Oryctolagus cuniculus: one gene and its partner. The protein of the gene in region 1 purifies or fractionates together with the protein of each later gene. This does not show direct contact. Links are inferred from orthologs where the notes say so. Each region holds a gene or a part of one and is shown on either strand. Other genes may lie near its edges.

Region 1 (3,311 bases):
GCAGATGGAAGATCTCTGCCTCTGTAACTGCCTTTCAAATAAATAGATCTGAAAAAAGGAACTAGAGCTGATAGTGAAGCCTTAGTATCTTACTCCCTCCAGTGTTTGACTTTTGCATCACTTAGTGACAGGATACTTTCTGAGAAATGTGTTGTTAGGCGATTTTGTCTTTGTTGACCATCATAGTGTACGTACACAAACCTAGATGGTTTGACCCACTACACACCTACACTACTATACGGTATATACCATCATTCACACAGCCTGTTGCTGACTGAACTAGACAGATAGCGCTACAGCTCAGTGTTAACCTAGGAAGAGTCTTGGCTTTTGGTAATGGTAGCAACATCCTCGTATTTTAGCAAGGGGACAAGAAAGTTCGATAAGAGGTGCTTAGGACCCAAGACAAGTATCAGTCTACACAACTTGGTTAGAATTTTCTCCAAAAGCTCCTGATTTCCTAGCCAGTATGTTTAAAGTTGTTTATCTCCTGTATATGCATGACTTTTAATTGACCTTGGCCATGTAAATTTCTGTTGAATAAATTGAAATGTCAGAAGCAAGTGAAATCTGAAATAGAACCACCCTGGGATGAAAAGTTGAGCCATTGAGCCTGCTGTGTGTGGACAAGCAGAGTGGTCGCAAGGGGTTTTTGTTTGTTTTTGTTTAGGTCAGTCAGCTAGCAGAGGTAAGGCAAGGCTGAACTAAGTTGAGACTACATGCTGACAGTTAAACTTTTATGCTTTTTGTTCAGCCTGTGTTAAAATATTCAGCAGGACTAGGTCTGCATTTTTGATCTTATGGGTATGGTGGTTTGTGTTAGTACCAAAGCCCATTTGCCCCGGGTGGATTTTTAAATCCTGGTTGACTTTGATCAAGCCTACTATTTGCTTGCTGTTTGCATAGCCCAGGAGTTAGGGCAACATTGAAACCTGGCTGTGGGACATTAGCCCATTGTTTGAGTTACTGCCTTAGCCTGTAGCTGAGGACTGGAAGGTCTGAGTCAATTGTATTAACCTGAACTTGTATTTAAAATGAGGCAAAAGTGCCAGCTTGTGTTCTTTTCTACACCTCTCCCCAGGTGAACTTAGTTTTTTTTCCTTTGTTTGAAATAGCAACTGGAATCATGTACAAAGTGTTGTTCAGCCCGTCTCTATTCTGCAGTCTGGGAGCCAGCTCTAAGGCCTCAGAAGGAAAAGGAGGCTTCTATCCAGCTGACGTTGGAAACGGTTCCAGCAGGGCCCCATACTATCACTGCTCAGGGACAGTTAGAGCACTAGTTTGTTTCTCAGGTGATTGAGGCAGACCTGAACTCCAAGCAGCTTTGGACAGAACAAGGACTAGAAATGGTAGAAGTTGCACACATGTCCCCAGGATCCACGCATGCTCGTTCTCTGCTACAAAGTTCAGAACCAGAGGCGAGCAGGAGGACTGACTGCTGGGAGAAGCAAGCAGACATGCAAAGGGTTACTCTTGCTACCCTGACAAAACAAGTCAAAGCTTGATGGGTCCCCTTTAGTTACCAAGCTTGTTAAGTGAAAAAAAAACAAAACAAAACAAAACAAAAAAAAACAAAAAACCAAGGTTTAGCCATCCATGAAGATGAAGCCTGTGGATTTTGCTAGAGTTCCACAGTTGACAAGGAAATTGACTTCTGAGAGGCAGACATAATCCTGTACCTATGTTTATCCATGGATAGCATCAACCTACAGACTTCTTGGTATTCCCCCCGCCCCCCACTTCAGTAGGTCTGAGCTGCTTTCCATCAGAGCCCAAGGGTGAGGGTAGGAGACTTTAGGGAGGTGGGTATTATTTTTTTCTACAAGGCACTTGGTTAAACTACTTGTCCAAGAATCCTGAAGAGCAGCAAGGTCTGGTTTTGTAAAACAGGATGAATGAGGCCTGCCCCCTCAAAGAAGCAGGGCTCTATGGAAAGTAGCCTCCCATTTATGCATTTGAGTAGGTCCTGCTTTGCTTCCCCCAGCAAAGCTGAGGGAGTTAGCCATGGCGGCTAGGTCCTGACATTAAGTGATGTCTAGATCACTATTTACCCCTTAGCTTCATTGGGGAGATCCATACAGGGCAGAGGGTTAAACAGTGGGTCTACAGGGCTGGTGCTGTGGTATAGCAGGTAAAGCCACCGCCTGCCATGCTGGCATCCCATATGGGCACCAGTTCGAGTCTTGGCTCTTCCACTTCCTATCCAGTTCTCTGCTATGGCCTGGGAAAGCAGTAGATGATGACCCAAGTGCTTGGGCCCCTGCACCCAAGTGGGAGAGCTGGAGTAAGCTCCTGGCTCCAGATCGATCCAACTCTGGCCATTGTGGCCATGTAAGGGAGTGAACTAGCAGATGGCAACCTCACTCTCTGCTTGTGTAACTCTTTCAAATAAATCCACCAATCTTGGGGGGGTGGGGTGGAGTGGGCCTGCATCATCCCACATACATGCGTGGAAGTCAGTTTAAATGAAGCCCAGGTCTTCAGAAGCAAAGCAGGCTTGCCTATACCCAGCCAAGCAGGTCACCAGAGTGCTTGGCCCTTAGTTAACTCTAAGGTCTGCTCCTCTCTGCCCCCCTGCAGGACCTCACTCCCTGGATGCATGCATAGTGGCGGCAGCCCCTCCACAGGCCTTCCTGGAGTTCTCGCATCTTCTTGCTGCCAGGAAAAGCCTACAGGGCTGCAACACCCACTCTACCTGCCAGCAGCAAAAGGAGGTCAGCCCCGCAGCAGTGCTGACCAACCTGGCCCGAGGCCCTGACTAATCAGTGCGATCCCGGACAAAACACCTCTAAGGGGCCAATACACTCAGCTCCAAGCAGGGAGAACACCGCAAGGGAAAATGAAGGAACTGTGTTCAAACCTAAATTTCCTGAAGTTACAAAACAAGCCTAATTGTGTACCAAACAAAAACAACAGCAGCCTATTCTACACATCTATGAACAGAAAACTATTGCCTGAATTTTACTTGGTTACCCTTTAGGGTGGTTTCCTTTTTTTTTTTTTTTTTCCCTTTAAGAATCCTACTTTCTTCTGGTCTACGTCAGCCAACTCCAAAGTAAGAGAAAGCTATTTGACAACTGACCCTTCTAACCGAGTGGGAAAACCCTGTAAATTAAAGCATATGAGTAAGAAGTGAGTGTTTTCTTAGAGTTCCTCTCCATCTCTTAGGACAATCCTACGAGCATTAAAGGACCGAGATGCTGAGACGAACCAGATTACACAGGTAGCTGCAAGTTCATGATCACAGCCTGTACCTCTAGACTCTGCAGCTATGCCCAGGAGACTGCCAGGGGAGCACTGGCCACACACTC
Region 2 (3,943 bases), on another chromosome or scaffold:
GGCATCACATATCTGAGCACCAGTTGAGTCCCATCTGCTCTACTTCCAATCCAGCTCCACCTGGGAAAGCAGGGGGAAACGCCCCAGTATTTGGGTGCCTCCCACCCATGTTGGCGACCTGGATAGAGTTCCAAGCTCCTGGCTTCACCCTGGCCCAGCCCTAGCCAATGCAGCTAATTGGGGAATGAAACAGCAAAAAGATCTCTTTCTGTTTCTCCATCTCTCTGCCACTCTGCCTCCCAAATAAATAAAATGAAATTTAAAAAAAAAAAAAAAAAGTTCCATTTGAGATGCCCACATTCCATGTCAAGACTGCCTGGGTTCAAGTCCCAGCTCTGCCTCTGATTCCAGCTTCCTGCTGATGCAGCAGCAATAGCTCAAGTTGTTGGGTCTCTGTCACCCCTATGAGAGACCCAGATTCTGTGGTGCGCATTTGGGGAATGAACTAATGAATGGAAAATCTTTCTATTGCACTACCTTCATTTTTTTATTTAGATGATGTGGTTTAATTTTAGTATCTTGAGTTTTCCTGGATCTTTCATTATTGTGATTTGTTAATTTCTGGTTTTTTTTTTTTAAGTTTTTATCAGGTTCAATGTAATTCACAGATACAGTTTGGAGATTAAAATGATATGTCCTTTCTCCCACCCTACCTTTCAAATAAATGAAAATACATTTTTTTAAAAAAGCAGCAGCAAGCAACAATGATGGCAGCAGTCTTTAAAAACATGTCTGTGAATACAAACATTTCACTTCAAAGGGGGAAGAATTATGAATGTTGTCTAAGGTCTCCTTAGAAGCAACAAGCAGAAGCCAGTAAGAAAACAAATTACTCCATCCTGAACTAGACAAGCTTCTTGGTCCAGTGGTAACACTCCGTGACTAGAAGCTACTGATCTTCACAGGACTTGAGACCAACCTCTTCATTTTACCACTGAGAAAGCTGATTCTGAGACAAGCGACCTGTCAGAGATAAGGATTAGGTCAGAGGAAGCAAAGGAACACCCTGGATTCCTGGTTCTAGATCTCCGCTGTAACAGCAAGGCTGCCTTTCCCTCAGCACAGGACACACAGCGAAGTCACAGAATTGAGTCCCTCCAGCTGGAAGATTCTAGTCAATGTATTTTCTAATTTCAGACAAAAAGTCTAAATTGTCCAGGGTAATGAAATTTTCTCTTCTGTCTCTACAGGCTGTACCTTGTTGAAACAATGCTCTGCCAGCCCATCACTCAGAATTCTTCAACGCACTGCTGGTCCAGGTGCTGTCACATCAATTCCCATTTCCCATCCAATTTCTTCCTTGAAATCTAACACCACTGGTCATTTTTTAAGTATATTTTCATGTAGATTTTTAAATAAAAAAGTCAACATGTCATGCACATTTGAAGGGTTCTATTCGTCTAAACACACACCAGCACTATTCTGCACCCCGCTTTGACTTTTAAACACTATTTTTCAAGTAATTTTGTTTAAAAGAACCTGAACAGAAAGAAGAGAAACCCCCAATACATCCTCCCAATCCCCTGCCCAGCCTTCCTTAACATCCTGCAGTTGGGATGGCTAACACTGGTCTGTTATTAACTCGGGTTAACAGCTTAGAGGAGCCAGTCTTCATGTTGCAATTTCATGGGTTTTGGCAGACATACAGTCACACATGTACCATGACAGTCACAGTAATTTCACCAACATGAAAATTCCCTGTGTTCCTAACAATTACCAGTCTTTTCAATATCTCTGTAGTTCTACCTTTTTAAAGTGCGGGAAACCTGAACCAAAAACTTATCATTTTTTAAAGCACAACTTCATCCGTTAAGTATAAGCAACCATCACCAAGATCCATTTCCAGAACTCTTTAATCATCGCAATCAATCCTGTTCCCTGCTTCCCACAGCCTGGTCTCCTGAGTGGAAGAAATCGTCCGTGTTTGTCCCTTTGTGTCTTATTTCACTTAACATGTTTAAAGGTTCATCCATCCCACAGCCAAGTATCAGCGGCTCACTGCTTCTGGGGATGATACGTAACCACCTCAGCTTGCTCTGCTGGTACCCGGGGTCGGCATCCGAGCGGCGGCCTCCCACCCTGCGGGTCGGCCCGGGGCTCCACCGGCAACGGGCCCAGTTCCGACTTCACTTCCTCAACCACACTCCAGTGCCTTTTGTGTTCAGCCACCCTAACAGGTGTGAGGTGCGCCCTCGCGGGGGGTTAGCTGCAGCTTCCCAACGGCTAACCCGCCCTCCGGGTGTCGTCTCCGGGCAAATACCCATCCGGACGCGGCGCTGCCCAGTGCAGTCCTGTGTCCCGGGTACAGACCCTACACCCGAGTTAGGATTTGCAAACGTCCGCTCCCGGGCTGTGGCCTGCCTAGCGGGCTTGCGGGCACAACGAGCGGCAGGAGCCCCGCACGCGCGAGAAGACAGCCACCTCGGGGGCCGAAACCGAGCCCGTCTCCGCTTTACACAAAACGCCCCAGGCCCGCCCGCCCCCTGCACAATGGCGACCCACGCCCGCCTCCGGGGAGGGGTCCTTCCCGCTGCCCGGGACGCCAGCGGCCGGCGGACCTTGCCTTCGGACCGGCCGGCCCCGCGCTCGGAGTCCGCGGCGCGGACCCCGCCCCCGCCCGCCCGCGCCCGCCCCCGCCCCTCACCGGTCCCGGCCGCGGCGGCGTCCAGGTGGGCGAGGCCGGCGGGGAGGCCCGGCTCGGGCGCCAGCGACTCCGCGGGGCCTGCGGGCGCGGCCTCCGAATGGCGACGGGACGCAGGGGCCGGCGCCGGGGGCGCGGGCGTGCGCGCGCTCGGCCGGGAGGCGAGTGGGGCGCCGCGCAGGCCAATTGGATCGCCGATCGCCAAGCGCGGCCGTGCGCACTGCGCGAGCGCGAGCAGCGGCGCGGCGCGGCTCCCGGAAGTGCCGCGCGCAGCGCCCGCCCCGGAAGTGCCGCCGCGCCCGGCGCGCGGGAGCTGGCCGAGTGGGCGGGGGCTCGGAGCGGGCCGTGCCTCGGTGCTGCTTCGCGTTCTCTCGCGTTTCTCGTGCTGTCGTGTGAGTGGAGTTAGGGAAGAAAGGCAGGCCCAGCGCCCGCGATGACGTCCGGGACAGCTGTCGGAGACGAACATTCTCCTCAGGCTCCCGGACCTCCGTCCCGCGAGCGGGGAGGGTGCGTGCACCTGGTTCCGAGCTCACTCTAGGTTGACTGACCAGATGTCTTCCATTCGTTTCCTTTAGAAGTTATTATGCTTGTTTATTTGACAGAGGGCTCGCAGGGCTGGTTCGCTCCCGCAAATGCCCACAACGCTCGGGACCTAGGCCCAGAAACTGGGCGCCCTGATCTCGGTGGGTCCCCCACGTGGAACCAGCCAGCCCCGTGGGACTGCAGCCCTGGCACCCTGATAGGGTGTCAACCTCTGCACCAGATGTCTACCCTGAGATGCTGTTTACTGTGGCAAAATACGCATAAAATCTATCATCTTAACAATTTTAGGTGTATAGTCCAATGGCATTAAGTGCATTCGCAGTGAGCAACAATCACCATCCGACCCTTTCGTCTTGTAACGGTGGAACCCCATACCCACCGCACAGTACCTCCCTTCCTCCCGCCTTGCCCCTTAAGATGGCTGTTCTACTTTCCATCTCTGAATCTGACTATTCCTATCAATGAAATGTTACCTTTTTATCGCTAACTTTAGCATGATGTCTGCAGGTTTACCTGTGTTGTAGCATACTGCAGAGATTCTGTTTTTAAGGCTTTTAATAAACATTCCATAGTATGGGTATACCATCTTTTGCTTATCCATTCATCTGTCATTTGATTTGCTTCCACATTTTAGCCATTGTGAATGCTTTTATGAACGTGAGTGTACAAATATGTCTTTGAGATTCTTTCAATTCTTTTAGATATTTACACAGGAGTGGGGTTACTGGATCCATGGTAACTCTTTTTAATTGTTTTGAG

Evidence for each region.
Region 2: the proteins of CBX1 (region 1) and CHAMP1 purify together in Homo sapiens (affinity purification with mass spectrometry; 6 studies listed by BioGRID and IntAct, with this or other methods). This does not show direct contact. The link is inferred for Oryctolagus cuniculus from reciprocal best matches to the Homo sapiens genes CBX1 and CHAMP1.

What each region holds. Positions count from the first base shown.
Region 1 is NC_091448.1:24,353,206-24,356,516, reverse strand, and holds the end of CBX1 (chromobox protein homolog 1), read left to right. Parts: intron 1-2,580; coding exon 2,581-2,758; 3' UTR 2,759-2,811; downstream 2,812-3,311. UniProt on the Homo sapiens protein: Component of heterochromatin. Recognizes and binds histone H3 tails methylated at 'Lys-9', leading to epigenetic repression. Interaction with lamin B receptor (LBR) can contribute to the association of the heterochromatin with the inner nuclear membrane.
Region 2 is NC_091440.1:34,357-38,299, forward strand, and holds the start of CHAMP1 (chromosome alignment-maintaining phosphoprotein 1), read right to left. Parts: upstream 2,801-3,943; 5' UTR 2,645-2,800; intron 2,474-2,644; exon of another isoform or gene 1,198-2,473; intron 1-1,197. UniProt on the Homo sapiens protein: Required for proper alignment of chromosomes at metaphase and their accurate segregation during mitosis. Involved in the maintenance of spindle microtubules attachment to the kinetochore during sister chromatid biorientation.